Nothobranchius furzeri: one gene and its partners. The protein of the gene in region 1 binds, or shares a complex with, the protein of each later gene. Links are inferred from orthologs where the notes say so. Each region holds a gene or a part of one and is shown in the gene's direction. Other genes may lie near its edges.

Evidence for each region.
Region 2: exosc4 (region 1) and exosc1 share a complex: the UniProt entries of both Homo sapiens proteins name them as parts of the RNA exosome core complex. The link is inferred for Nothobranchius furzeri from reciprocal best matches to the Homo sapiens genes EXOSC4 and EXOSC1.
Region 3: exosc4 (region 1) and exosc3 share a complex: the UniProt entries of both Homo sapiens proteins name them as parts of the RNA exosome core complex. The link is inferred for Nothobranchius furzeri from reciprocal best matches to the Homo sapiens genes EXOSC4 and EXOSC3.
Region 4: exosc4 (region 1) and exosc2 share a complex: the UniProt entries of both Homo sapiens proteins name them as parts of the RNA exosome core complex. The link is inferred for Nothobranchius furzeri from reciprocal best matches to the Homo sapiens genes EXOSC4 and EXOSC2.
Region 5: exosc4 (region 1) and exosc8 share a complex: the UniProt entries of both Homo sapiens proteins name them as parts of the RNA exosome core complex. The link is inferred for Nothobranchius furzeri from reciprocal best matches to the Homo sapiens genes EXOSC4 and EXOSC8.
Region 6: exosc4 (region 1) and exosc9 share a complex: the UniProt entries of both Homo sapiens proteins name them as parts of the RNA exosome core complex. The link is inferred for Nothobranchius furzeri from reciprocal best matches to the Homo sapiens genes EXOSC4 and EXOSC9.

What each region holds. Positions count from the first base shown.
Region 1 is NC_091751.1:51,169,413-51,172,673, forward strand, and holds exosc4 (exosome complex component RRP41), read left to right. Parts: upstream 1-1,221; 5' UTR 1,222-1,277; coding exon 1,278-1,448; intron 1,449-1,988; coding exon 1,989-2,195; intron 2,196-2,282; coding exon 2,283-2,642; 3' UTR 2,643-2,761; downstream 2,762-3,261. UniProt on the Homo sapiens protein: Non-catalytic component of the RNA exosome complex which has 3'->5' exoribonuclease activity and participates in a multitude of cellular RNA processing and degradation events.
Region 2 is NC_091746.1:82,291,581-82,295,654, reverse strand, and holds the end of exosc1 (exosome complex component CSL4), read left to right. Parts: intron 1-929; coding exon 930-1,018; intron 1,019-1,089; coding exon 1,090-1,123; intron 1,124-1,210; coding exon 1,211-1,261; intron 1,262-1,485; coding exon 1,486-1,570; intron 1,571-2,941; coding exon 2,942-3,048; 3' UTR 3,049-3,574; downstream 3,575-4,074. Other genes in the region: knop1 (lysine-rich nucleolar protein 1), read right to left, coding at 3,951-4,074. UniProt on the Homo sapiens protein: Non-catalytic component of the RNA exosome complex which has 3'->5' exoribonuclease activity and participates in a multitude of cellular RNA processing and degradation events.
Region 3 is NC_091741.1:64,434,378-64,438,604, forward strand, and holds the start of exosc3 (exosome complex component RRP40), read left to right. Parts: upstream 1-1,427; 5' UTR 1,428-1,469; coding exon 1,470-1,694; intron 1,695-2,181; coding exon 2,182-2,331; intron 2,332-3,018; coding exon 3,019-3,170; intron 3,171-3,706; coding exon 3,707-3,914; 3' UTR 3,915-4,227. UniProt on the Homo sapiens protein: Non-catalytic component of the RNA exosome complex which has 3'->5' exoribonuclease activity and participates in a multitude of cellular RNA processing and degradation events.
Region 4 is NC_091746.1:53,646,459-53,650,731, forward strand, and holds the start of exosc2 (exosome complex component RRP4), read left to right. Parts: upstream 1-1,473; 5' UTR 1,474-1,694; coding exon 1,695-1,816; intron 1,817-1,889; coding exon 1,890-1,991; intron 1,992-2,104; coding exon 2,105-2,150; intron 2,151-2,239; coding exon 2,240-2,329; intron 2,330-2,413; coding exon 2,414-2,479; intron 2,480-2,567; coding exon 2,568-2,636; intron 2,637-2,800; coding exon 2,801-2,977; intron 2,978-4,273. UniProt on the Homo sapiens protein: Non-catalytic component of the RNA exosome complex which has 3'->5' exoribonuclease activity and participates in a multitude of cellular RNA processing and degradation events.
Region 5 is NC_091750.1:62,637,160-62,641,254, forward strand, and holds exosc8 (exosome complex component RRP43), read left to right. Parts: upstream 1-1,395; 5' UTR 1,396-1,460; coding exon 1,461-1,477; intron 1,478-1,740; coding exon 1,741-1,777; intron 1,778-1,874; coding exon 1,875-1,938; intron 1,939-2,123; coding exon 2,124-2,197; intron 2,198-2,271; coding exon 2,272-2,317; intron 2,318-2,451; coding exon 2,452-2,557; intron 2,558-2,640; coding exon 2,641-2,686; intron 2,687-2,760; coding exon 2,761-2,857; intron 2,858-2,937; coding exon 2,938-3,058; intron 3,059-3,146; coding exon 3,147-3,253; intron 3,254-3,375; coding exon 3,376-3,494; 3' UTR 3,495-3,595; downstream 3,596-4,095. UniProt on the Homo sapiens protein: Non-catalytic component of the RNA exosome complex which has 3'->5' exoribonuclease activity and participates in a multitude of cellular RNA processing and degradation events.
Region 6 is NC_091746.1:81,910,903-81,914,970, reverse strand, and holds the start of exosc9 (exosome complex component RRP45), read left to right. Parts: upstream 1-1,268; 5' UTR 1,269-1,367; coding exon 1,368-1,433; intron 1,434-1,698; coding exon 1,699-1,793; intron 1,794-4,068. UniProt on the Homo sapiens protein: Non-catalytic component of the RNA exosome complex which has 3'->5' exoribonuclease activity and participates in a multitude of cellular RNA processing and degradation events.

The sequences.
Region 1 (3,261 bases):
CAGAAACTGGGTTTAGAACTGGTCTGATGAGTCAAGATGGACCCTGTTCCAGAGGGATGGGTGCGTCAGTGTAAGAAGAGAGGCAGATGAAGTGATGCACCCATCACACTTAGTTCCTATTGTACAAATCTGTGGGGGCAGTACCATAATCTGGGGTTGCTGCAGTTGGTCAGGTCTAGGTTCAGCAACAGGATGTGGGCAGCTCAGCCCTCCATGTGCTCGCCAGAGGCTGCCTGACTGCCATTAGGTACCAAGATGAGATCATCAAACCCCTTGTGAGACCATTACATCAAAGTTGGATCAGCCTATAGGGCTGGGCGATATGGCCTAAAATCAATATCATGATGTATTGAGGATTTCACCTCGATAACGATAAATGGATGATAACTACAGGTATGCGCAGAAACAAGAGTGGTCCACTAGATGGGGCTGTCACGTGTATCACGTTTAGTCACATTTTTACCTGACTCCAGGTGGTACGGCATCTTAAAGGGACAGGAATGTTGCCAACCTACACACATCTTTTCATTATTTTATTATTAAATTTGTTGACATGGGAAAAATTATCTCGATAAGAGTCTGAAATTTCGATGACGATAAATTTTCGATTTATTGCCCAGCCCAAACCTGTAGTGTGTTTATACATTTTAATTCTGTCGATGCTCTAAATCCAGATATCCATGGGTTGATAAATTTGATTTCTATTGATAATTCTTATATGGTTTTGTTGTCAGCACACTCAGCTATGTAAAGAACAAAGTATTAAGAATATTTCATTCATTCTGATCTAGGATGTGTTCATGTGTTCCCTTTATTTATAAACTGAATTGGTTTTACCGCCTTTAAAAGATATTGTGTAAAAGACCGAAGCAGAACGTTCACAAGGAGTGAGAGCATGAATGGAAACCTAATAATGAAATATGGGCAGGGTAATAGAAAATGTGCAAACCAGGAAACCAGCTGCAGGAATTCAAAATCTGCTGGTTTTGGATCATTGAAACCCTTTTTTAGAATTTGTTTTCTAAATATAAAAAATAAAATGTAGAAAGTGGTTGTGTTTTGAATTTTGACTTTATATTTTCATAGATATTTATTTATATTATTATACTTAAATGAGATCATCCATCCATCCAGATGTCAGAAAAAGGATGGACGGATGGAACGGAAACGTTCGTGCGCTTTTTTTCCCCCCGCTTTGAGCTTGCCGTTGTCCCTGGTAGAGGCTGTTGGGTAATGTAGTGCAGCGTTGAACACGTGAGGCGGGTGTTTGCAGAAACATGGCGGGCATCGAGCTGCTGTCGGACCAGGGATACCGCCTGGATGGAAGGAAAGCCACCGAACTGCGGAAAGTTCAGGCTCGCCTGGGTGTGTTCGCTCAGGCCGACGGTTCCGCTTACCTGGAACAGGGAAACACCAAAGTTCTGGCTGTGGTTTACGGTCCGCACGAGGTATGTAACGTCACGAATGTTTGGAGGACTTCATAACACATAACCATATAAAGGCGGTACTATATGTTTCCTAGTATTAGATTTAACAACATCTTCGCGCCTATTAGTGTTTGTATAATAAAGTGAGATCATAATAATATTTTACAATGTTTACTGTGCATCAGACGTGATAGAGCAGAATGCTACAGCATGGAGGTTAAATTAGAAATACACTGGAGCGAATGAAAGAATAATGAATGCAAATCACTAGTTATAAATATGAAATCAAAGTTCAAATGTGGTAACCCACCAGAAATGTATTTGTCGATGTAACCTTACAGTTGAGAAATAATAATAATAATAGAAACTTAAATCTAATGTTGCACATATTTCCAGAAACCTAGGGACTCCTGGTCTTGAAAAAAAATGGACATTTCAACATCCAGATATTTTTTTTAATTTTACTTTAGTTCTATTAGCATATTTTTAGGAATTATGTTAAAATCAAACAAGTCCAGTCGTGATTATTTTTGTATTTCTTCATCTCATTCTTCCCTCTAGATGCGAGGTTCAAGAAGTCGTACTCTCCACGATCGAGCCGTCATTAACTGCCAGTACAGCATGGCCACATTCAGCACCGCAGAAAGGAAGAGGAGGCCGCACGGAGACCGTAAATCCACCGAGATGAGTCTCCACCTGAAGCAAACGTTTGAAGCTGCTGTGATGACCCAGCTCTTCCCGCGCTCTCAAATAGACATTTATGTCAAGGTGCATCTTAGATTCTTTAAGTTTCTCTTTTCATGTTAATAAAGACAGCAGTTCCTTTTTTTCACGAAGATGTTTTGTATTTTTCAGATTCTGCAGTCAGATGGTGGGAACTACAGTGTGTGTGTTAATGCAGCCACCTTGGCTGTGATTGATGCTGGCATCCCGATGCGAGACTACGTGTGCGCCTGCACCGTGGGCTTTGTGGATGAGACTCCCCTCGCTGACCTTTGCTACGCCGAGGAGAGCGGAGGAGTCAGCTCTCTGGCGTTGGCGCTGCTTCCCAGGGGAGGACAGATTGCTCTGGTTCAGATGGACGCCAGGCTGCATCAGGATCACCTGGAAGCACTGATTGAAGCTGCAACGACAGCTTGTAAAGGTGTGAGCAAGGTGCTGGATGAGGTGGTGAGGCAGCATCTTCAAGAAGCATCGGTGCTCACCGGAGAGTAATGAATTATGAAGTGGAGCCCGTTTGGACTGAGAATCTCTGAACTCTTTCTTTATTTTATAATATTTCATTGCATTTCTTTATCCTTTTGTAACCAGACCTATAAATGTGTGAATGGAAATCTTCTCTTTGATTTTTCTCCTGACTCTTGTTCGATAGACATGTAGTCTCTGTTAGTTCTGTTAACTCTGAATAACAGATCATTAATAGTAATTATTAGAAAGAAAGAAAATGATCTTTTATATAGCGCCTCATGATAAAAATCACAAGTTGCTTCACAAGAAAAATACATTTTAAATATTAATAGATAAAATGATTAGAAGATATGGTTAAAATGAGAAAAAATATGTGATTAAAGGAAAGGATAAGGAAAGGGAAAGAGAAAATGAATAAGAAAGAAGAAAATCAGTGGATCCTGGGAGAGGTGGAGTTGGTAGAGCAGAATAAGGAGAGGGAGTGATGAAGGTAACACCAAAGCCAGCCTGAACAGGTGAGTTTTCAGCTTCTTTTTGAAGGAGACCACTGAGTCCACTGATCTCAGGCTCAGGGGGAGAGAGTTTCAGAGTCTGGGGTCTACAGCAGCAAATCATTGTCACCTTTGGTCTTTAGCCTGGTGCGCTG
Region 2 (4,074 bases), on another chromosome or scaffold:
TTTTCGCTCCGAACCGTTCTTTGAACGTTGTTTCAGCTGTCATCAAGGATATAAACGTTACAGATACAAAGGACATCACTGGCGCTTTAGCTCACCTATTAAGATGTTGGACTCTCGTGCAGAAGACCCGGGTTCGATTCTGGATGTAAACATAGTTTAATTAGTTTCTTTTTTACATTAATGGTATATTTTTTACAGTAAGATACCCAAATTTTTATTTGAGACTCGCCGAACGGCATTGAATTCACAGATAAAAAAGATGTGGGTTCAACTTTCATTTTGGAACAATTTTTCAAGCAAGGGAAGGGAATGATCTGAGCATGCAGGAGGACTGACCCATCATAAACCTTTGTCGGCTGTGCTGAAGAGAAAGGTACAGAACCACATTATTTAATTAATTAGCTGCGTGTTCTCCTATCCTCTGTCCTCCGGGCCACACACACACACACACACACACACAAGGGACTGCCTCAGCTGTTATTTTCGTTAAGGAGTGTGCACGTACAGCATGCACGCCTCGTGCACGAGCCTACTATTGAAGCTGCCGTTACGCTTTTGGCCTGAGGGGGGCGATCGCGAGCATAAAAAAAGCATCAAACCTCTGTAAAGTCCCTTTAAGGACAGTTATTTTTGTATTATATGTATTTAGGGGGTGTTTTTTTTTACACAAATCAAGAAAAAAAAGTGCCTTTTCAAATAAAATGTATTCATAAATCACCTTAAAAACAAACAAAGTGCAACATAATAAACATCATACAAATGACCAAAAGAAACATTTAAGTTAAGCTCTTTATCATTTTTTACACCAGTTAAACTCAGATGATCATATCTGAAACGTGCACTAAAACTCAAGACGGGGACAGCCAGTGCATTCACAGATGTCAGTACTTTGTGTTCAGGTTTGCCTTTTACTAACTTGTCTTTTAAAGGTGACCAGCACCAACCCCAGGTTTGCCAAAGTCCACATCCTGTATGTGGGTTCCACACCGCTGAAGGACCGCTTCAGAGGGACCATCAGGTAACCTCACTACGTAAATCCAGTTTGATTAACTTTCCTAAACTCTTAGCTCACTCTCTCCGTATCTACAGGAAAGAAGACGTGCGAGCAACAGAGAAGGATAAAGTGAGCTAGAATTCGTACTTTTACTTGGATTGTTTACTTATTTTTGCTCCTTCTGTTTCCTTACTGATGGTTCTGTTTTGTTTACAGGTGGAGATATACAAAAGCTTCAGAACGGGCGACATTGTTTTGGCTAAAGTGGTATCCTTCAACAAGCTCTCCAAGAAAGAAAACCAAACAAATTTAAAAGCTATTTTCAGCTCATAACCCAGTTTCATTGGGACCTGTAAAATTTGCTGAGCTGAATGGGACAAAATGAATGAATGAATCTTAGAAATGACAGCAAACAATGTTCACATGTTACTACTGACTCCGGTGCTTCAGTCTGAACGTTACTGATTACTAATCTTGACCTTTGATGTCAGATTTCTCTCGGTGACATTCAGTCTAACTACTTGTTAACAACAGCTGAGAATGAACTGGGTGTGGTGGTGGCCCACAGCGAGGCAGGTACGTTCCTCACCTCTTTCACTTCATCTTTCCAAACTAAACAGCTGCTCAGATCTGACCAGCTCACTCAGGTTCTGCAGGAACAGCAGGGGGTCCAAAGTGGGAGGAAAAGATTTCTGATTAGAACTTAAGTAACATTATTAACTTCCATAATGACAGCATTACTGATTAATTCTCTAGTGTTATTTTCATCATAGCTAAATATTATTACTCTCAATTTCCGACCAAATGCAAAGATATTATCTATCTGATTTAGTAGCTAATTATTTGCGCTTGAAAACATTTCTTATCGTATTTTCAAGGTTTGAAAAGTGCTTAAAATTGGCCAAAAATACTTTAAGCTTCTTAAAAATGTAGTTGAATTCATTTTGTAAATCATCAACTAATAATTATCTATTTTTAAGAACTATTTTATTCAAAGATATTTCTTTATCTTGTGTCCTATGTTATATAATAATAGAGTTAAATAAAATATAACAATAATAAAGAAAAAAAATTTGGCCCTCACCATCTGTAGAGCCGCCACCAGGGGGCAGTAGACATGTATAGGACTAAATATGGCAGGTTTGTAGCAAAGTTCTTCACTGCACTTCTAAATGTACATATGTGATCTTATGGTAATTTTTTCGAAAAAAAAATAAAATAAAATAAAAAAATTACTCTTGAATGTTTAGATTTTTTTCTAACAATTCTTTTAAAGTAATTGTTCATTGTTTTTTGTTCACATACATGTTTTGATGTGTAGGCCATTAAAAGCTTCAGCAGAACTTGTAGCATTAACATTCATTCATTCAAGCTGCCTTTAAATAAATAAAATAGATTTCTAAAAGTAAAGTACTGGTTTCATGTGTGAAATGGTTTCAGCTTGAACACATAGCTGGAAAGCCTCAAAAATTCTCAACAGGTCTAAATTGGGCCATGGTGGCAAAAGGGTTAAGTGCTCGCCCCGTAATCGCAGGTTCGAGCCCCACTCAGTCTGTCGTTGTGTCCTTGGGCAAGACACCTAACCCCCCTTGCCTGCTGGTGGTGGTCAGAGGGACCGGTGGCGCCAGTGCTCGGCAGCCTCGCCTCTGTCAGTGCGCCCCAGGGCAGCTGTGGCTACATCGTAGCGCATCCCCACCAGCGTGTGAATGGGTGAATGACTGATTGTGTTGTAAAGCGCATTGGGGGGTTCCAGGACTCTAGAAGGCACTATATCAAATACAGGCCATTTACCAAATTTGCATTTGGAAAAAGTGTAAGAGCCTTTTAATATTGCTGACATGAAAACAGGTGTTTTCCGTCGTATTTTCCCTACTTTCTTTTCTTGTAAATAACTTCCCATTTTTCTGCATGTTTCTAACATTTTTACCACATTTTCCCCTGAACCAGGAGCCCAGATGATTCCCATCAGCTGGTGCGAGATGCAGTGTCCGTTGACTCACGCCAAAGAGTTTCGTAAAGTGGCTCGAGTCCAGCCTGAGTATTTGGAAGCGTGACAGCCTGGACAGTCTTCACTTGGTACACGCAACTTCCATCTTCCTTCAAGCAGCTCCTGCTCCAGCTTTTGTTTTTCTGTGCATCATGTGATTCACGGGCCACTTCTGGTTTAAGTGTTTCAAACAGCTGCACATTTTGTCATCCTTTCATTGTGCTTTTCTGACTGGTAAACAATAGCAGTTAGTTTTTTACCAGCAGACCCAAGAACACAGAAGTTAAACATGATTTTTATTTTTGGAAAGGGCCAGTAACGGTAGCTGGAAGAGCTCTACGCTTTATGGTTCGTCACAAATCGTGCTGGTGTTTTGCTGTCTTGGGCTTAAAGCTGATGAAGACATTTGTTCACTGTTGGAAAGCCCAGCGCTAAACCAAATGTTTGATGCAGCTACAGCGTAGAAAATAATGAAACGTTAAGTTACCTTCCTGTATATAACTGAGTCAACCGTACATAAGCCTTGCCTTTTACGAAAATGTACTTTGCTGTTTAACTTTCAAAAGTACAATAAATTAAAATGACTGATTCTACTTTGTCTGCAGTTCCTGCTTTGTGCACCTAACTATTCAATTGTTTTCTACAATCCTTCAAATTAAACATTTTGTAACTTACTGAACATCATAATTCATGTGTCACATTTAGAATTAAATGGCAAACTTTGGTTTTGTAGATTTATTTTTCAAAACATCAAAATGTATCAAAGCCATTAAAACTAAAATATTCACACTAACAGAGGCGTTGCTTTGAATTGTTTTACATAATCCGGTTTTGACACTGATGGTTTCATCTACATTTTGTACAACTCAGCCAACATTCGATCACCTCTAAAGTGAAACTAACGAGACTGAACTCATTTACAACGCTGATATAAAAAAAAAAGGTTTATCCAAACATCCACCTTCCTGATCAGTCATCAAAGCGAATTGATCGACTTGCATTGACATCAATGAAGAACTTTTTATTGGGTGGGGCGTTAAACCCAAGCCCCGCCCCCTTTTTACTGAAGTCCATTCTGCGTGAGTGGGCTCGC
Region 3 (4,227 bases), on another chromosome or scaffold:
ATTTATCCAAAATAAATCTTATTTTTTCTATCATTCTGTGTTCATGGTTGATTCTGCATGTCTTGGGTTAGACACATCCCTCAAAACATGACACATCACTCCCTGTTCTTAAATCTCTACTAGGGCTGCACATTTAATCAAATTTTATTCCCAATTATGACTTAAGTTTTGAACGATTATGAAAACAAAACAAGCCGATTATTTGCTCCTTCCTCTTGCACTGCTCCGAGTTGCAAATCAAGTGTTCACCCCCACAGTGTTGCCCACTTAGCAACTTTGTTGCTATTTCTAACAGCTATTCAGACCCCCTTCTTGACTTTTTAAATCCTAAAAGTACCTAGTTAACAACATGGAAACATCTAAGATAACACTTAGCTGCTTTCTGGATGGAGGGTGAAGGAGACATGTCCAACTTTTTAATCATTGAGGTGGGCTGAAAACAGCAGGAATACTCATATTATTAAAAATATGCACGCACCAGGGGCGTGTCCAGGGAGTAGCCTGGGGTAGCAAATGCCACCCTTGGAATCTGATTGGCCACCCCAGGTGCCACCACACTGAATTCCCTTTAAATAGGCTTTTCATTGTCCACAAAAGGCTTGGGGTAAAAAAAATGTAAAAAAGCATAACCATTGGTGCCACCCATGCACAAAGTAGTGCATCACCTAGGCCACCCCATTTTAAAAGATCTGGACACGCCACTGACACGCACCTCTCTTCTGACTGGCTAACAGAACATGTTCAGCCATGTTACAAAGTGACTATCACCAAGACACTCTCCGTTCTCTCTCCTCACTGTAAAAAAGTTAAAAAAGCCATCCTGTGCATGCACGAGCAAAGATAGGCTCGGCCAGTTCACACTGTGACATAGATATGTGAGGATTTTCAAATCCTAGCATTTCACAGTCTATTTTCTATCAGAAGCTAATGCAGGAGATAGGTGTAGAAGACTGTTTTCATGTTCAGCCTGCATGAAAAATTCAGAGTGACCGGTTCCCTGTCATTTCACTTTATTTATTATAACTCACCTTGTACTTCCTGATTTCTTTGTGTGAATTCCATATATGGGTTTATAGCAACATCTGGAGCAAATTTTGTGTCAATAGCCCACTTAGACATGCCCTTACTGATAAAAACGCTGAGGAGGTTCTGGGGTCAGTCGCTTCTATAGTTTTAAAAGATTCAGTGTGGACTGGAATCAGATTCATGCGGTTTGTCTGCCGCTCCATAAAGGGTCCCAAATCACGGCAAAGCTCCAGAAGGATCTCCTTCAGTATTCAGAAATTAGCCAGACTAAATAAATATATTATTTATATTTTTTATTGCAAAGCAAGAGTTTGGTCTAGTTCTCTTCTTGAGCAGCAGGGAGCGAGCTGAGCCGGAGGTCTATCTCCTCCTGAGCAGCAGGGGGCGCTCTGAGTCGGAACCAGAACAGAACCAAGAGGTCCAGACTTCTTCTAGCTAGCGGTATGTTTTCAAGTCTGAAGGAGAAAATCGGTGAAGTTCTTTTACCTGGAGATGAATTTGTCTTCGAGTCTGAGGACACAATTTTTCTAACAGACAATGTGAAGCCAGAGCGGCCGGTGTGTGGACCGGGGCTGCGGCAGAGCGGAAACCGGCTGGTGGTGAGCAAGAGCGGCGTGTTGAGGCACAAACCACCGCACACGTTTTGGATGGACTCACAGCAGTGGAGGGTGGGTACCGACCGGTCCAGACTGGACTCGCGGCCGAACCTGTCAGAACAGAACCGTGAGAGCTAATAGACAAGGTTCAGAGTTCTCACTGATGAAAAACCCGGCGGAAATTACATGTGTTTCTAGTTATTTGTCCCCCTATCCATACATTTGCGATGTGTTAACTTTTTTATACCCTAAAGTTTATCATTTATTATCTATTTCATATTCAAATCTGTTGAATATTCGTTTCCTTGTTAATGGTTATTTTTATTGTTCTATACACTTTGTTGTGATCGTATATAAAATTAAAAAGTTAATGTACCGGAAGTCTGAAGGAAGTCAAAGTTTGAAACTTTCTACAAAACTAAACTAGGGTGAAGTTAGGTTTATGTTGCAGTGGTGTTTTATACTGTTTCATCCGGTAACGATTATGGAAAGGTAAACTGGTCACGTTGGCACAAGCAGCATGTTCTATCCACTCACCACCTGAAACTTCTGTCCTCAGTATGTCCCAGCCAAAGCAGAGACGGTCATTGGTATTGTGACATCCAAGTCTGGGGACATCTTTAAGGTGGACGTTGGAGGCAGTGAGCAGGCATCTTTGTCCTATCTGGCCTTTGAAGGAGCTACAAAGAGGAACAGACCCAATGTCCAGGTGAGACTCAGGGGACAGTTTTTTTCTACTTGAAACAAGTGAGTCATGTTTAGAGTCCAGATTTGGGGGACCCGTCAGCTGTTTTTAGGAGTTCTGTGTCCCTTGTGACCCCAAAATCACAAGCATGCAACACACAGACACACATATGATCACTGTAGAGGATTGAAAGAAGAGTTCTGATGTATTGTTTTTACGCTGACCCAGTATGGAACGTGTCGGGACCAACAGGAAGTACACCTGATCGTTTAGTCATGCTGGGTGTCTTATGGGAAGAAAAAAAGTCTCAAAAAAATCTGTGTCTGTGTGTATCTTGATGTGTGTGTGTATCTAGATGTGTGTGTGTGTAGATAGATCTAAGCATGTATAACTCTTGATTTGTAACTTGTTTACATTTTCGTGTGTAACTTCAGTTCCTACACATACAGATCATTAAATAAACACACACACACAAATCACTTAGTACACACGGACAAAACTACATTACACACAGATCAGTTTACAAGTGCAAAAATCCTTTTGAGACTCATTTTCTCACCTGACTGATTTGTGCCTACATGGTGTGTTTGAATGCTGCATGTCTGATGGCTCAGGACCTTTTGGGTCCCTCTGGACTATCAGTACTTTGGTGCCCTGTCCTTATTGGACCAGATCAGCTTATGTATTGCCCTCTGTGTGTTCCCTGTGCAGGTTGGAGACCTGGTGTTCGCTCAGTTCACTGTAGCCAATAAAGACATGGAACCAGAGCTGGTGTGTATCGACGGATCGGGCCGGGCCAACGGGATGGGTGTTTTCGGAGGAGGTGGTCTGCTCCTCAAAGTCTCTCTGGGCCTCGTTAGAAGGTAACATTACCCAACATTTTCATTCTCTGACTGACAAACTCTGAACCAGCAGGAGCTTCTGGATGAGTATCAGGACTGGGTCAAAGGCCGGGTTCTGTTACAGTTGGGTTTCATCTACAGACATCAATTTACTTGCAAAGGTGTGAAGTTCTCACAGAACCACATATTTAGTCCTGATGGTTCTGGAACAAGACCCAGGTTATTTAAAGAGAATTTGTCTGAAACTGAAGCAGAGGTCATTGTCTGAGAACTGGGTCAGTTTGTCTTTAGTTCCATTTTTAATTGAACCATATGTGCCAGAGGGAGTGGCCTATTCTGACTCATAAGTCCAGTGTTGGGTAATAAAGAATCCTCTGACAGAACAGCTTCTGTGAGTGTCTTGCAGCTGTTCTAAATCAGAACAAGAGCCTCTTAACTCCTGCATGTATCTGTGAGTGATTATCAACAGGACAAAGTTAATCTGTTACAAAGACCCAACATTGAGTTCTGACATGGTAACAGCTCTGGTCGTGCTCTCGTTTCTCCCTCCCTAACAGGCTGCTGGCCCCCCAAAGTGACATCCGGTCTGACCTGGAACAGCTGTTCCCCTGTGAGCTGGTGGTGGGAATGAACGGTCGGATTTGGGTCCGAGCATCCACCATCCAGCAGACTCTGATCATCTCCAATCTCCTGCAGAGCTGTGACACCCTGACAGCACCGCAGAGACGGGAACAGTTCAGGAAGCTCCAGAAGGGGGGGCTGTAGGCTTCCCCCTCATCATATTTTACTCATTTTATTCATTAACTTGTTTATAACTTTGGTGGAAATAAGCTTTATTTCTGTTTGGAACAGGGTGACTTATTGGTTAAAAGTTTCATGACAGGTAGGAGCCATCACTGTGGAGACATGTGTTTGATCTTTAGAACTTGTGTTTAAACATCCAACAGTGGATTTTAGTTCTAAGGATCATTCCAGTGGAATTCAAAGCTGAGATGATGGAATGATGTAGCTGCAGTCTCAGGCAGGTGAATTTGGTGCCTGGAGGGAACCTGACAGATCAAATCCAACAAGTCTTAAA
Region 4 (4,273 bases), on another chromosome or scaffold:
TGGACAAGCAGAATATTTTTAACTATATTCTGTGGACTTCCTGAGAGTAATGTATTACAGTAATCCAGTCTTGATGTAATAAATGCATGAACTAGTTTTTCAGCATCACTCCTGGAAAGGATGCTTCTAATCTAAGCAATATTCTGAAGGTGGAAATAGGAAATCCTTCTTCTTTTAAAATATCTTTATTAATATAAAGTTTTATTTCTAAAGTCATTTTTTTCATAATAAACCAAATGATCATTGAGCCATTTTAATTTAATTCATTCAGTTTTTATTACATAACTTCTTTTTAATAGTGTTTTTTCCCATGGCTGATTTATTTCATAATGAGACTTTACAGCAGAATGTCTCAGTCCGTCAGTCAAACCAGTGGGTGTGACCTGCCATTTTAAAAGAAGAATGAAAAATATTTCATAATATTGAACTTAGATTTTACATAACATTCTGTTATTTCATCATTTCATTGTCAGATTACATGATTGTCTAGTATTTCTTCATGTAGACATTTATTTCATAATGTCTTATTTATTTATTGAATTTTGAATACTTTTGAGTTCCATAAAACAAAGCTATTTGCAGAGATAAGTCTGGGTTGGGGTGTTTGAAAAAATTAATTTGAGAGCAAAACAATAAAAAAGATTCTGACCTAGCCTAGAATCTAGACCGTCAATTGCTGAAGCAAAAATAATCTTGCATTATACTATATATATGTATTTTTAAGAGTCCACAATAAACTTATAGGGATGGCATTGGGATTATAGATATTTTAAGAACTCATCAAAACATTAATTACAGTTGAAAAAATACTGGATTGAGCTGAGAATGTATTAATTTAAATGGCATACATCTGTAAACATGAAAAGAAAAAAATTGATGTTTGGCTGTATTGTTGAGCTAACTTAAGAAAGCTCTAGAAAGGAAACAACCCCCAGGAGTCTGCATCCAAGTGTGAAATCCTCCTCATCACTGTTGTCTGACCTATGCATGCTCCAGGGGATGAATCAAAGTAAAGGCTGGGTGCAATCTGATGGTTTTCTAGGCTATATATTTTTGTACAAACTTTCATGAAAACAAATTTGAATTTATTTAAAAAGTCCAACCCTAATTATCCTGTTTTTGTATATTTTTCTGGAATATGTTTTTACCTTGCCTAATAAAATCACAAATTCTGCAAAGTAAACAAAAACTGAGGGAAGTGAAATTGATAAAGAAGAAATAAAAGCCCTGAATTAACAATTAAAGCGGGCTTATAAGATTCCACCAGTAAAACTGTGATGAATCTTATGATCACAGAAGTGGAATGATTTAGCTATTATTGAGTTGTTTGTTAATCTGAACCTGGCTGAGTCAGTAGTACTGCATTGATCTTTATTTGGCGGAAAGAGAGCAGTAACAAAACATCAATTTCTGTCGCTTTTACTCCGTACCAGTAGGGGGCGTTAGCTGGTCTCACAAACTACGTAACAGAGCAGAAGTAGGAGAGTGTGCTACCTAGCATCACAGACATGCATGGTCTGTTATAGTTATATTGTTGTCCATTTTTGTAGCTTGTTGAGCCAGTTGGTTTTTAAACGACTGTTAACTTTGGGGAGGAAACCCTTTCTTAAATTTTCTTCACTATTCTAAGTGTGCACATAGAAGTAAAGCCCTGTGGACTCTGTCGCGAGCGGGAAAAGTAAGAAGAAACAAGCATGGCAGTGGACATGAGATTACCGACTGTTAAAAAAACAATGACTTTGTCGGCTCCCGCTGTATACCGGAAAGATTTGGTAGTTCCCGGCGATGTTATCACCTCAGACACAGGTTTCATGAGGTGGGTACTGGTTCTACTGTGAAGCCTGGGAGTAAAGGCCTGGTAACCATTACTTTACCTCGTTTTCTCACAGGGGTCATGGAACATATGTCGACGATGATAAACTAACGGCTTCAGTTGCAGGAAAGGTGCAAAGAGTTGACAAACTAATCTGCGTCAGACCTCTAAAGACCAGGTACGCCATTAATTTAAGAGCCATGAAACATCATTTACCTCTGCACTGCTTTCACTTGCTATGTGTCCTGCTTTTATCTAAATGCAGTCCTATAACTCTGATGTGAATTACAGATTTAACGGTGAGGTTGGAGATGTGGTTGTTGGCAGGATCACGGAGGTGAACAAATGTTTTTGTGATCTAAAAACAGTAAAAAGATGTAGTACTTTCATCAAGAGTTTTCAGAATGGGGATGTTTTCAAATTCAGGTTCAACAGAAGCGGTGGAAGGTGGATACCAACTCCAGACTAGATTCGGTCCTCTTATTGTCATCTGTCAATCTGCCTGGAGGAGAACTGGTGAGATAGTAGAACGTAGCTTCATATGTTTTGGTTGAGATTTTTGTTTTTACTTTTGCTAAACTGATTGATTTTGCCTTTTAGAGACGAAGATCTGCAGAAGACGAGCTCACCATGAGAAAATACATCCAGGAAGGCGATCTAATCAGTGTAAGACACATTTGATTCAAAATGACCAACTTTTACTACCAGTTTTTTTTTATTCCTGACTGGGTTTGAACTTTTGTTTGTTTTTTAGGCAGAAGTGCAGTCTGTTTTTTCAGATGGAGCACTCTCACTTCACACTCGTAGTTTAAAATATGGAAAAGTAAGTTATAGCACACAGTGACACTGAGTAATCCCACTAATTTTTACACTAACACGTTCCTAATTATAAAAAGCTTCTTTTGTGGGAAAATAATCTGTAGTAATAATAATAATAATAATAATAATTTTAATCTCAATCTTATTTCAATTCTTTTTGACTGTCAGTTGGGTCAAGGAGTGCTGGTCCAGATTTCTCCTTCTCTGATCAAGAGGCAGAAAACACATTTCCACAATCTTCCATGTGGTGCATCTATAATCCTTGGTAATAATGGCTTTGTGTGGTTGTATCCCACGCTGGGACAACAGGATGAGGAAGCTGGGGGCTTCTACACCAGTTTGGAGGTACATTCAGAACCAGTCAAGAGAAGTTGTTCATAAACTTTATTGACTTGATTTTGATAGATGTGTGTGAGCGTTAAAGTGTGAGTAAAGCAGTTCAACATAATAAGTGATTTGTTTGAGAAACCTTGCTGGGTCTATTAAAGGTCAGTTTTGTGAGACATGATCTAGTATTTTAAGACATCATAAATGATAAACTACATGAATTTACCTAAAGGCACAAAGTATTTTTATGTCAAGAGAAGGAAAAGCTTCCTAAGGAATGAAAATTTGACCCTCTGACCTGACTTCTCACCTCTGTTTGTGAAGAAATACTTATTAAACATAATCTATTTAACACATCCAGACATGTAATGCTCTAAGAATTCCTCCTGGAGGAACGGGGCAGCCTTAGAGAGAAAAGCAACTTGAGACTGTTAAAGTATTGGGTATTGACCCTTTGCACGTGACCTCACGCCACTCATGTGACCGCCCCCTTCGCCATGACGGACGGCAAAAATACCATTTACACCTGTAGAATCCCCAGTGAAGCTGGTCAAAACAAGCCAGTTTGTAGCCTTTTATCGCTTTTATTTAGTTGATTTGACAGTAAAATGGTTTTAGCCTGCTGCATGGTCGGCTGCACTAAGAGACAAGGACATAAACTCAACTCGTTTTTTCTTTTTAATAAATTTGATGGGAGACTGAGGACGGAGACAAACTGCAGTGATCAATTAAGCGAAGTAGCCCTCAGATTTGCAGCGAACATGTTTTTACCGGGTAAGATTAATGTTCATTTATTTCACGAGGAAGACAGGGACAGGGATAAAGGTGATGTGTTCATACAAGTTATTGATAATCCTGATGGATGGGTATTTCACCCCGGATGACGCGCGCCGTCCACTGTTGTATAAAGCGAGACAATTATTAACAATATTAAAGCTCCGATGTATGATTACATGTGTTAAAATTACGTTATTTATTTATTTATATGAGCTTCAGCGTTCAGAGATCTCATTCCGATGTGAGAGCAGCAGCTGAACCCGGTAACACCACCAGCAACAGGAGCTGGTAGAGATCCAGACTTTTTAAAAATCTGCTTTGGTGTGAAGTGAAACGCTGTTTACAACATAAAGTTATAAATCCAGAGGGGTGGATTTAGGCAAAGTCAGCAACATGTTTACATCGGTGAACAGCTGCAGAGAGAACGTAAGCTAACGTTGGTAAGCTAGTTAACATACCGCTCTCTATGAGCCCCCGCTAGATGCGCTACTTCTGATAATGGAACTGGGCAAGAACTAGTTGAAGGAATGCTGGAAG
Region 5 (4,095 bases), on another chromosome or scaffold:
CACGAGTTGCCAGTTCCTGCAGGGGAGGAGTGTGTATTGTGACAGTGTTTTTTTTTCTCAAAACCCAGCTTACTAACAGATTTGTTATAACAGCTTTGATAGAATAACAGAAGGTGAGTAATGCAAGAGAACTAAGTTATTTTCTACAGGGCTGCCAACTTGTGATGGTTTCCATGCACGAGGAGGTGTGTGAAAGGGGTCAGACACGTGTCTCACGCTCAATGGGAAGCTAAGTCACACCCATCTATTTCCGACCATGGGTCCCCAACAGGGCTGGACTGGGACAAAAAATCAGCCAGTTCGTTTTGAGCCGAGACCGGCCCACCAGCTAGTGAAGTTAAAAAGCAATGACGCCTATTTTTTACACCACCTCTCTAACCCTGGGCCTCGATATTCCATATCCATCATGTTTTACTTGTTTCCCTGCTCCAGCACAAAAACTGAGCTTATTTTGCTGCTTAACCCTTTGGTGCATAACGGTCACTACAGTGGACAGTTACTCAAAATTGTTATTTATTTATTTTTGCTATTAAGCACAGCTGTTGAAGACTTTATTGCATATGAGCCCTTCCATTTGGACTTCAGTAAGTCAAGCCACCATATTTCATGTTCAGAATGCACATTGTCCACTGAGATGGACATGTAATAAAGTATTTGTAAATTAACAAAATGGTACAAAAAATATTTGTTGAAATTTGTTTCATTCACACCTAAAGATGAATGAAAAAAATAGTTTAAAAAATCATGGTTGAAGATTTCATAATTCATGCATCAGAGGGTTAATGCAACAAAACATCAACAGACCAAGACAATCTTCAGATATCTAACTGCTCGTTTGAGGTTGAGTAAAGAAAACAGTAAAGCAGAAAATAATCAGAAAACCGAGTTGCCATGCATGCACTGCTCACACACACACACACACACACACACACACACACACACACACACACACACACACACACACACACACACACACACACACACACACACGCACGCACGCACGCACGCACACACACACACACACACACCAACATCAAAACACATGACTTGTTTAACAGTTTAATTTTGTATTTTAAAAGAATGATCCAAACCATTCTAACTAAAAAGTTCAGTTTGAAGACATAAGAGAATCCACAATTTTGCTCTGGATTGTTCGGTTAGGAAAGAGGAGTTTGTAAGGAATATTTATTCACTGTCAATTGTTTAAACACTACAATATTGTTTGTTTAGCAAATTAATATATCGAGTTTTATTTAATCTTTATTAATTGTGACCGGTTATCAATTTGAAAGTTTTATTGACCTTACAACACCAACTCATTTTTGAAAAAGACGAATTTGTTGGCCAGTTTTTCGTTCATTTCCGAACTCCAGTCCAGTTGGTGGCGGTAATGCACACTTGTCGTTGGTAATCACAGTTTCGTCGCGGCCACCGTAGTTCACGTGGGTAATCAAAACATCATGGCGGCTGGTTTCAAGTAAGTCATTTTTAACATGTATTTTTCTTTATATTCAGACTTTGATTTTCATCAAATATATATCATCGATATATTTAATGTTCAGTGTTATATCTAAATTTAGTTTGCTTGTCAAAAAATACAGAAACAACATTTCTGTGACGTCAGTTGGGCTAGTGACGGGATAGTACACTTTATTTGTTAGATTTATCGGTCTGCTGTTTATTGCAGGATCGCACGTGTTTGTTACTAATTTGTCTTATTTAATTTCTTTAAACTTTCAGGACGGCGGAGCCTCTGGAGTATCACAGGAGCTTTTTGGTTCGTCAAATACATACAAACTATACCCAGTAGAAACCCATAAATGTTATTATTATTGTTATTAGTGTCATTGTAATTGCAAATGCTTCATTTGCAGAAAGAAAATTGTAGACCTGATGGGCGGGAGTTGTCTGAATTTAGAAGTACAACCTTAAACATTGGTAAGAAAATAAATTAAATGTTTCCTCCCTGTAATAAAACATAATTTTAGATATGATGTAAATAAAATAATATGTACTTCTAATACAAAATGAGTCGGCTCATATTTTTTCAACTCCAACATTTTCCAGTGCCTAAAGGGCTGATCACTGCCAGCTGTAACAGTTTTTACTTATTTTCTGTTCAGGGTCTATTTCCACTGCAGACGGCTCCGCTCTGGTAAAGCTGGGAAACACCACGATCATCTGTGGCATCAAAGCGGTACTGGTGCACAATGACTCAAACCGCTACTGCTAAGATTTCTTTAGGTGTTAAAGTCATGTGTTCATATGCAGGAGCTGACTAACCCTACTGTGGATGCACCTGGTAAAGGTTACATAGGTAAGTTCTGAACACATTTTACAGCCTCCTTGTTTCCATCAGGTTTTCATTGCTTAATTCTTTATCTCGTATTTTCTGTTTGATTCTGTATTTTATTATGACATCATCATCTGTCTATATATGTTTTAAAAAAGTGCCCAATGTAGACCTGCCACCCCTGTGTTCGTCCCGCTTCCGACCAGGCCCACCAGGGGAACAGGCCCAGGCTGCCAGCCAGTTCATCGCTGATATCATTGAGAGGTGTGTTAAGCCTTCAAACACCTTTAGTTTCCAGCTGTAGTGTTTCTGCCACTGCTTTGACTTAACCTTCATGTGTCGTGCAGCTCTGAGGTGATCAAGAAAGAAGACTTGTGCATTGGCCGAGGAAAGGTGATTTTAGACTCATGTGTGGACTTTATTTGTTGTAATATATTCAATCATAATTCTGCTAAATCTTGTTGCAGCTCTGCTGGGTCCTCTACTGTGACATCATGTGTCTCGACTATGACGGGAACATCCTAGATGCTTGTGTTGTCGCCCTTCTGGCTGCCCTGAAAACCAGTAAGTAGGGTTGAGACTTTACTGAAACGGTGCATGTAATAAATAAAATAAATCTATCTTTTAGTAATCTTTCCCTGCAGCACAACTCCCAGAAGTCACCATCAACAAAGAGACGTCCGCCCCGGAGGTGAATTTTGAAAAGAAACACAAACTTAACATTCACCGACATCCAGTCAGCGTCTCCTTTTGCATCTTTGATGAGTACGTTTGTTTGATTTCAATTCAATTTTTATTTTAGGTACAAGTGCCATTTTGTTCTTCTTTAAGCCTTTTTGGTTTTCCTGTGCAGCTCCATACTGATCGTAGACCCCACCGCCGAGGAGGAGAGCCTGTCGACGGCACGCCTCACTGTGGTGATGGATGAGGAAGATCAGCTGTGCTCCTTACATAAACCAGGTCAGAGATGGCACATCTGTGATCTTTAGATTTGTGGTGCTTCTGCCATGAAATAAAGCTTCAGATTATTTTGAGTATTTTGAGAAAACGGGGATAAAAGGCTCTGCAAACTTTGCCTCCAGGTGGAACGCCACTGTCGGGAGAGAAGCTGCAGGAGTGCATCAAAAGAGCAACGGCACGAAAGGGAGAGATCCACAAACTTATTGAGAAAGTCATAAAAAGCATGAAGACAGCTCAATAAATACACTCAGACAACATTTTTTATCTAAAAGTTGTATTTTCCACTGTCAATATATATTCTTTTTTAATAACAATAAAACTGCTGACAAAGACTTAAAAAAATTATCTTTTCAGTGTCCAGAAATGTCTCACGCACACTTAGCTGATGTCTTAATTCATGTAAGAATATGCTCATGGCTCCTTGTTAAAAGGTAACACCTTTTGAAAATCTGCTGTACAAACGCACGCCGTCTTGCATGATGACTCTGAGTCCTCGCGTGAGCCCTGCGCCGGAATACTCCCCAAGATCAGATTTGCATTTTCACGTCGTGGACACGTGGACGGCTTGGTGTTGCTAATCTGTGCTTAAAGGGCAGCCTCATGCGAAATTCTCTTTAAAATGTCCTCTCACTCCACAGGGCCTCGGCAGAGAAAAGTCTTCCGAAAGTAGAAATATGTAACCGTGGAAGCTCGTTACCTACAAGACCCGTCTTCTTCTTGATCATCTGAAAAAAAATATCACCAAGGCTCTTAGAGCTTCGGGCTTCCTGCTGTAGAAACCAGTTCCCCCACAGTGGACAAAGGTTTGGTTTTCAGAAAACATCTGAGAACCAAATCATAAA
Region 6 (4,068 bases), on another chromosome or scaffold:
CAAAATGTTCATTTGGAAAACACCCAAACAACTAGATATAAAACAGACTAAAATGGCAGTTAATTTCCTTCAATTCGTTAATTTTTGATTGTAAATTGTATGAGGTTCCGAATGTGCAAAATGTGTCATAAAATTGATCGGTTTGTGCACCGTATTTCTTCAACGAACTTCATTGTTTGTGATTTATGCTATTTGAAACCTGGTTCGAGGAAAATAAAGCTTTTTCGTTGAATCCGAATAAAATCCCATTAACCGGCGATTTGGAGATCGGGGGGTTTCTGTGAAAGCATCACGTAGAAGCTCCTTTTCTTTTCGTCCCTTCAACTGTTTATATCATGCTTACACTCGAAGCGCAACACTTAATAGACTAAATGAAAGAAAATCCAAAATTGGTGTCATTTCTTTATGTGTTTAGCCAACAAACTGAACAAAATATTCATTTACAGCCACGTTTTGCCCCACTGTACTTACTTCTATCATTTAAACGAATATCAGTCTAGTTAAAATCGCATGTATGAATATACGGATAAAATAAACGACCAACACACACATTAGATTAGTCCACATCAGTTCACATGATTGGTTACAAACAAATTTAGATTTGGGTTCACATATCGCTCCTAAAGGGAAAGAAGTCCTATTTAAAATTTTGAATAACATTTACCCAACAAATAGACTCCTTGGGGATAGATTCAATATAGAAGCTGGTAATTGTGTATTTTGTGAAACAGAAGAGGAGGACTTAGACCATCAATTTTTTTTGTGCAACTTTATACAAATATTTTGGTTAGATTTTCATGCCTGGCTTTGTTCTAGTGGGATTCAAATTGCCCCATTTACCTTAAATATGACAATGTTTGGAGTGTTTTTGAAAAAAAGAAAGTTAATTATGGTGTTAATGTGTTATTAATTTTGTGCAAACAATTTATACATAAATGTCAATTTTTAAGACCAAACCAACACTAGCCTATTGGAAAAACGACTTAAAATTATTAATTAAATCGTTGAATTTAGTTAAAAAGAAAAAGGCAGATTTGTTTATTTCCTTTGTAGAAGATTTTGAGTTAGTAAGTTAATAATCTGTTAATTATGTGACCCCATCTTTAGATTTTCTTTTTTTCATATACGTGAAAATGTTTAATATGCATGTAATGATTATCGTTTGAATATATAATGTACGGTGCATTTTGTTTGTATGTTATCTTCTCTAAAAAAAAAAGAAAAAAAAAAGATTTGGGTTCATTTGCGACATACGGTAAAGCCGTATATTGTTTCGTCGCGCATGCGCGAATTGCGTAAATAGGTGGTTCCCGCATGTCAGTTGAGAATAATTTGATTTTCACCAGAAACAGCAAATAACAACAATCATGAAAGAAACGCCGCTTTCCAACTGCGAGCGAGACTTCTTACTGAGAGCAATCGAAGAGAAAAAGGTGCGTTTTAAAACGTTTATCATCAAAGTAGCTAAGAAAACAACCTCCACATCCAGAACGTTGAATGGAAAAACTGAAAAAAATCCGTGCTTCTATTCATGATTGTATCTTTAGAAGTGAGAATTCACACCAAAATTGTCACAGAAATGTTTAAGATAAAAACGTTGTAACCGAAATTAAGTCATTTAATTTTCCAAGTTCCAACTATTGTTTTTGAAGAAACTAGCTAAAGTTCTGTTTACTGTTTTTTGTTCGTGTCTTTTAGCGGCTCGATGGACGACAGACCTATGACTACAGAAAGTTGAAAATCACTTTTGGGACTGATTATGGATGCTGCTTTGTGGATCTGGGGCAAACCAGGTGATTCTGGGGTTTGGTAATGTGATGAAAGCTGCTGAATGATTCTAATACTGACTAACATGTTGTCTCTAAAATCAACACGAGGAACTGTTAGGGTCAAAAATCCTTGGGAGTGCAACCTTCATCAAAATAACAAGAACATCAGATTCCCTTTCATCCCTTGCAATGAGTGAAGAGATAAACATGTAAAAGAACAACGTTTATTAATGCTGAAAGTTTTGTAACTATTAGTTACAAATCAGTGAATGCATTCTGTCCTCACGGGCTTCCGTAAAAGGAAACATGGCATCCAATATTGTGTCACCCAGAGACTTAGACCCACTCCTATGCATTTTAAACCCAATTTTTATGGCTATACAGTGGGGCAAAAAAGTATTTAGTCAGCCACCGATTGTGCAAGTTCTCCCACTTAAAATGATGACAGAGGTCAGTAATTTACATCATAGGTACACTTCAACTGTGAGAGACAGAATGTGAAAAAAAATCCATGAATTCACATGGAAGGATTTTTAAAGAATTTATTTGTAAATCAGGGTGGAAAATAAGTATTTGGTCAATAACAAAAATTCAACTCAATACTTTGTAACATAACCTTTGTTGGCAATAACAGAGGTCAAACGATTACTATAGGTCTTTACCAGGTTTGCACACACAGTAGCTGGTATTTTGGCCCATTCCTCCATGCAGATCTTCTCGAGAGCAGTGATGTTTTGGGGCTGTCGCCGAGCAACACGGACTTTCCACTCCCTCCACAGATTTTCTATGGGGTTGAGGTCTGGAGACTGGCTAGGCCACTCCAGGACTTTCAAATGCTTCTTACGGAGCCACTCCTTTGTTGCCCGGGCGGTGTGTTTGTGATCATTGTCGTGTTGGAAGACCCAGCCACGTTTCATCTTCAAAGCTCTCACTGATGGAAGGAGGTTTTGGCTCAGAATCTCACGAAACATGGCCCCATTCATTCTGTCCTTAACACGGATCAGTCGTCCTGTCCCCTTAGCAGAAAAACAGCCCCAAGCATGATGTTCCCACCCCCATGCTTCACAGTAGGTATGGTGTTCTTGGGATGCAACTCAGTATTCTTCTTCCTCCAAACACGACGAGTTGAGTTTATACCAAAAAGTTCTACTTTGGTTTCATCTGACCACATGACATTCTCCCAATCCTCTGCTGTATCATCCATGTGCTCTCTGGCAAACTTCAGACAGGCCTGGACATGCACTGGCTTCAGCAGCGGAACACGTCTGGCACTGCAGGATTTGATTCCCTGACGTTGTAATGTGTTACTGATGGTGACCTTTGTTACTGTGGTCCCAGCCCTCTGCAGGTCATTCACCAGGTCCCCCCGTGTGGTTCTGGGATTCTTGCTCACCGTTCTCATGATCATTTTGACCCCACGGGATGAGATCTTGCGTGGAGCCCCAGATCGAGGGAGATTATCAGTGGTCTTGTATGTCTTCCATTTTCTGATAATTGCTCCCACAATTGATCTTTTCTCACCAAGCTGCTTGCCTATTGTAGATTCACTCTTCCCAGTCTGGTGCAGGTCTACAATTCTTTTCCTGGTGTCCTTCGAAAGCTCTTTGGTCTTGGCCATAGTGGAGTTTGGAGTCTGACTGTTTGAGGCTGTGGACAGGTGTCTTTTATACAGATAATGAGTTCAAACAGGTGCCATTAATACAGGTAATGAGTGGAGGACAGAAAAGCTTCTTAAAGAAGACGTTACAGGTCTGTGAGAGCCAGAGATTTTCCTTGTCTGAAGTGACCAAATACTTATTTTCCACCCTGATTTACAAATAAATTCTTTAAAAATCCTGCCATGTGAATTCATGGATTTTTTTTCCACATTCTGTCTCTCACAGTTGAAGTGCACCTATGATGTAAATTACTGACCTCTGTCATCATTTTAAGTGGGAGAACTTGCACAATCGGTGGCTGACTAAATACTTTTTTGCCCCACTGCATGTTATGAAACAACCACTATTTGTCAACAACTGGGCACTTTTTAATTCATTTACAACATTTCAATGGATATTTCCAGAGATTAATGGTAAAAACTACACATTGTCACTTTAATATAATCTAGAATCGACCCTTGTCTGTGACCTTTAGATGCTTTTAAGGGTTTGTCCCTCCAAGAGAAAAGAGTTAGCAGCATGGAAATGTCTCTGTCCGTCAGTCATCTCTCCTCCCGTTTCTCTTTGTTCCGTGCACCAGTACCACAACATGACACCACCTCTGCCGTGCACGACAGTTGCTTCAGAGTTCTTTAGTCTGA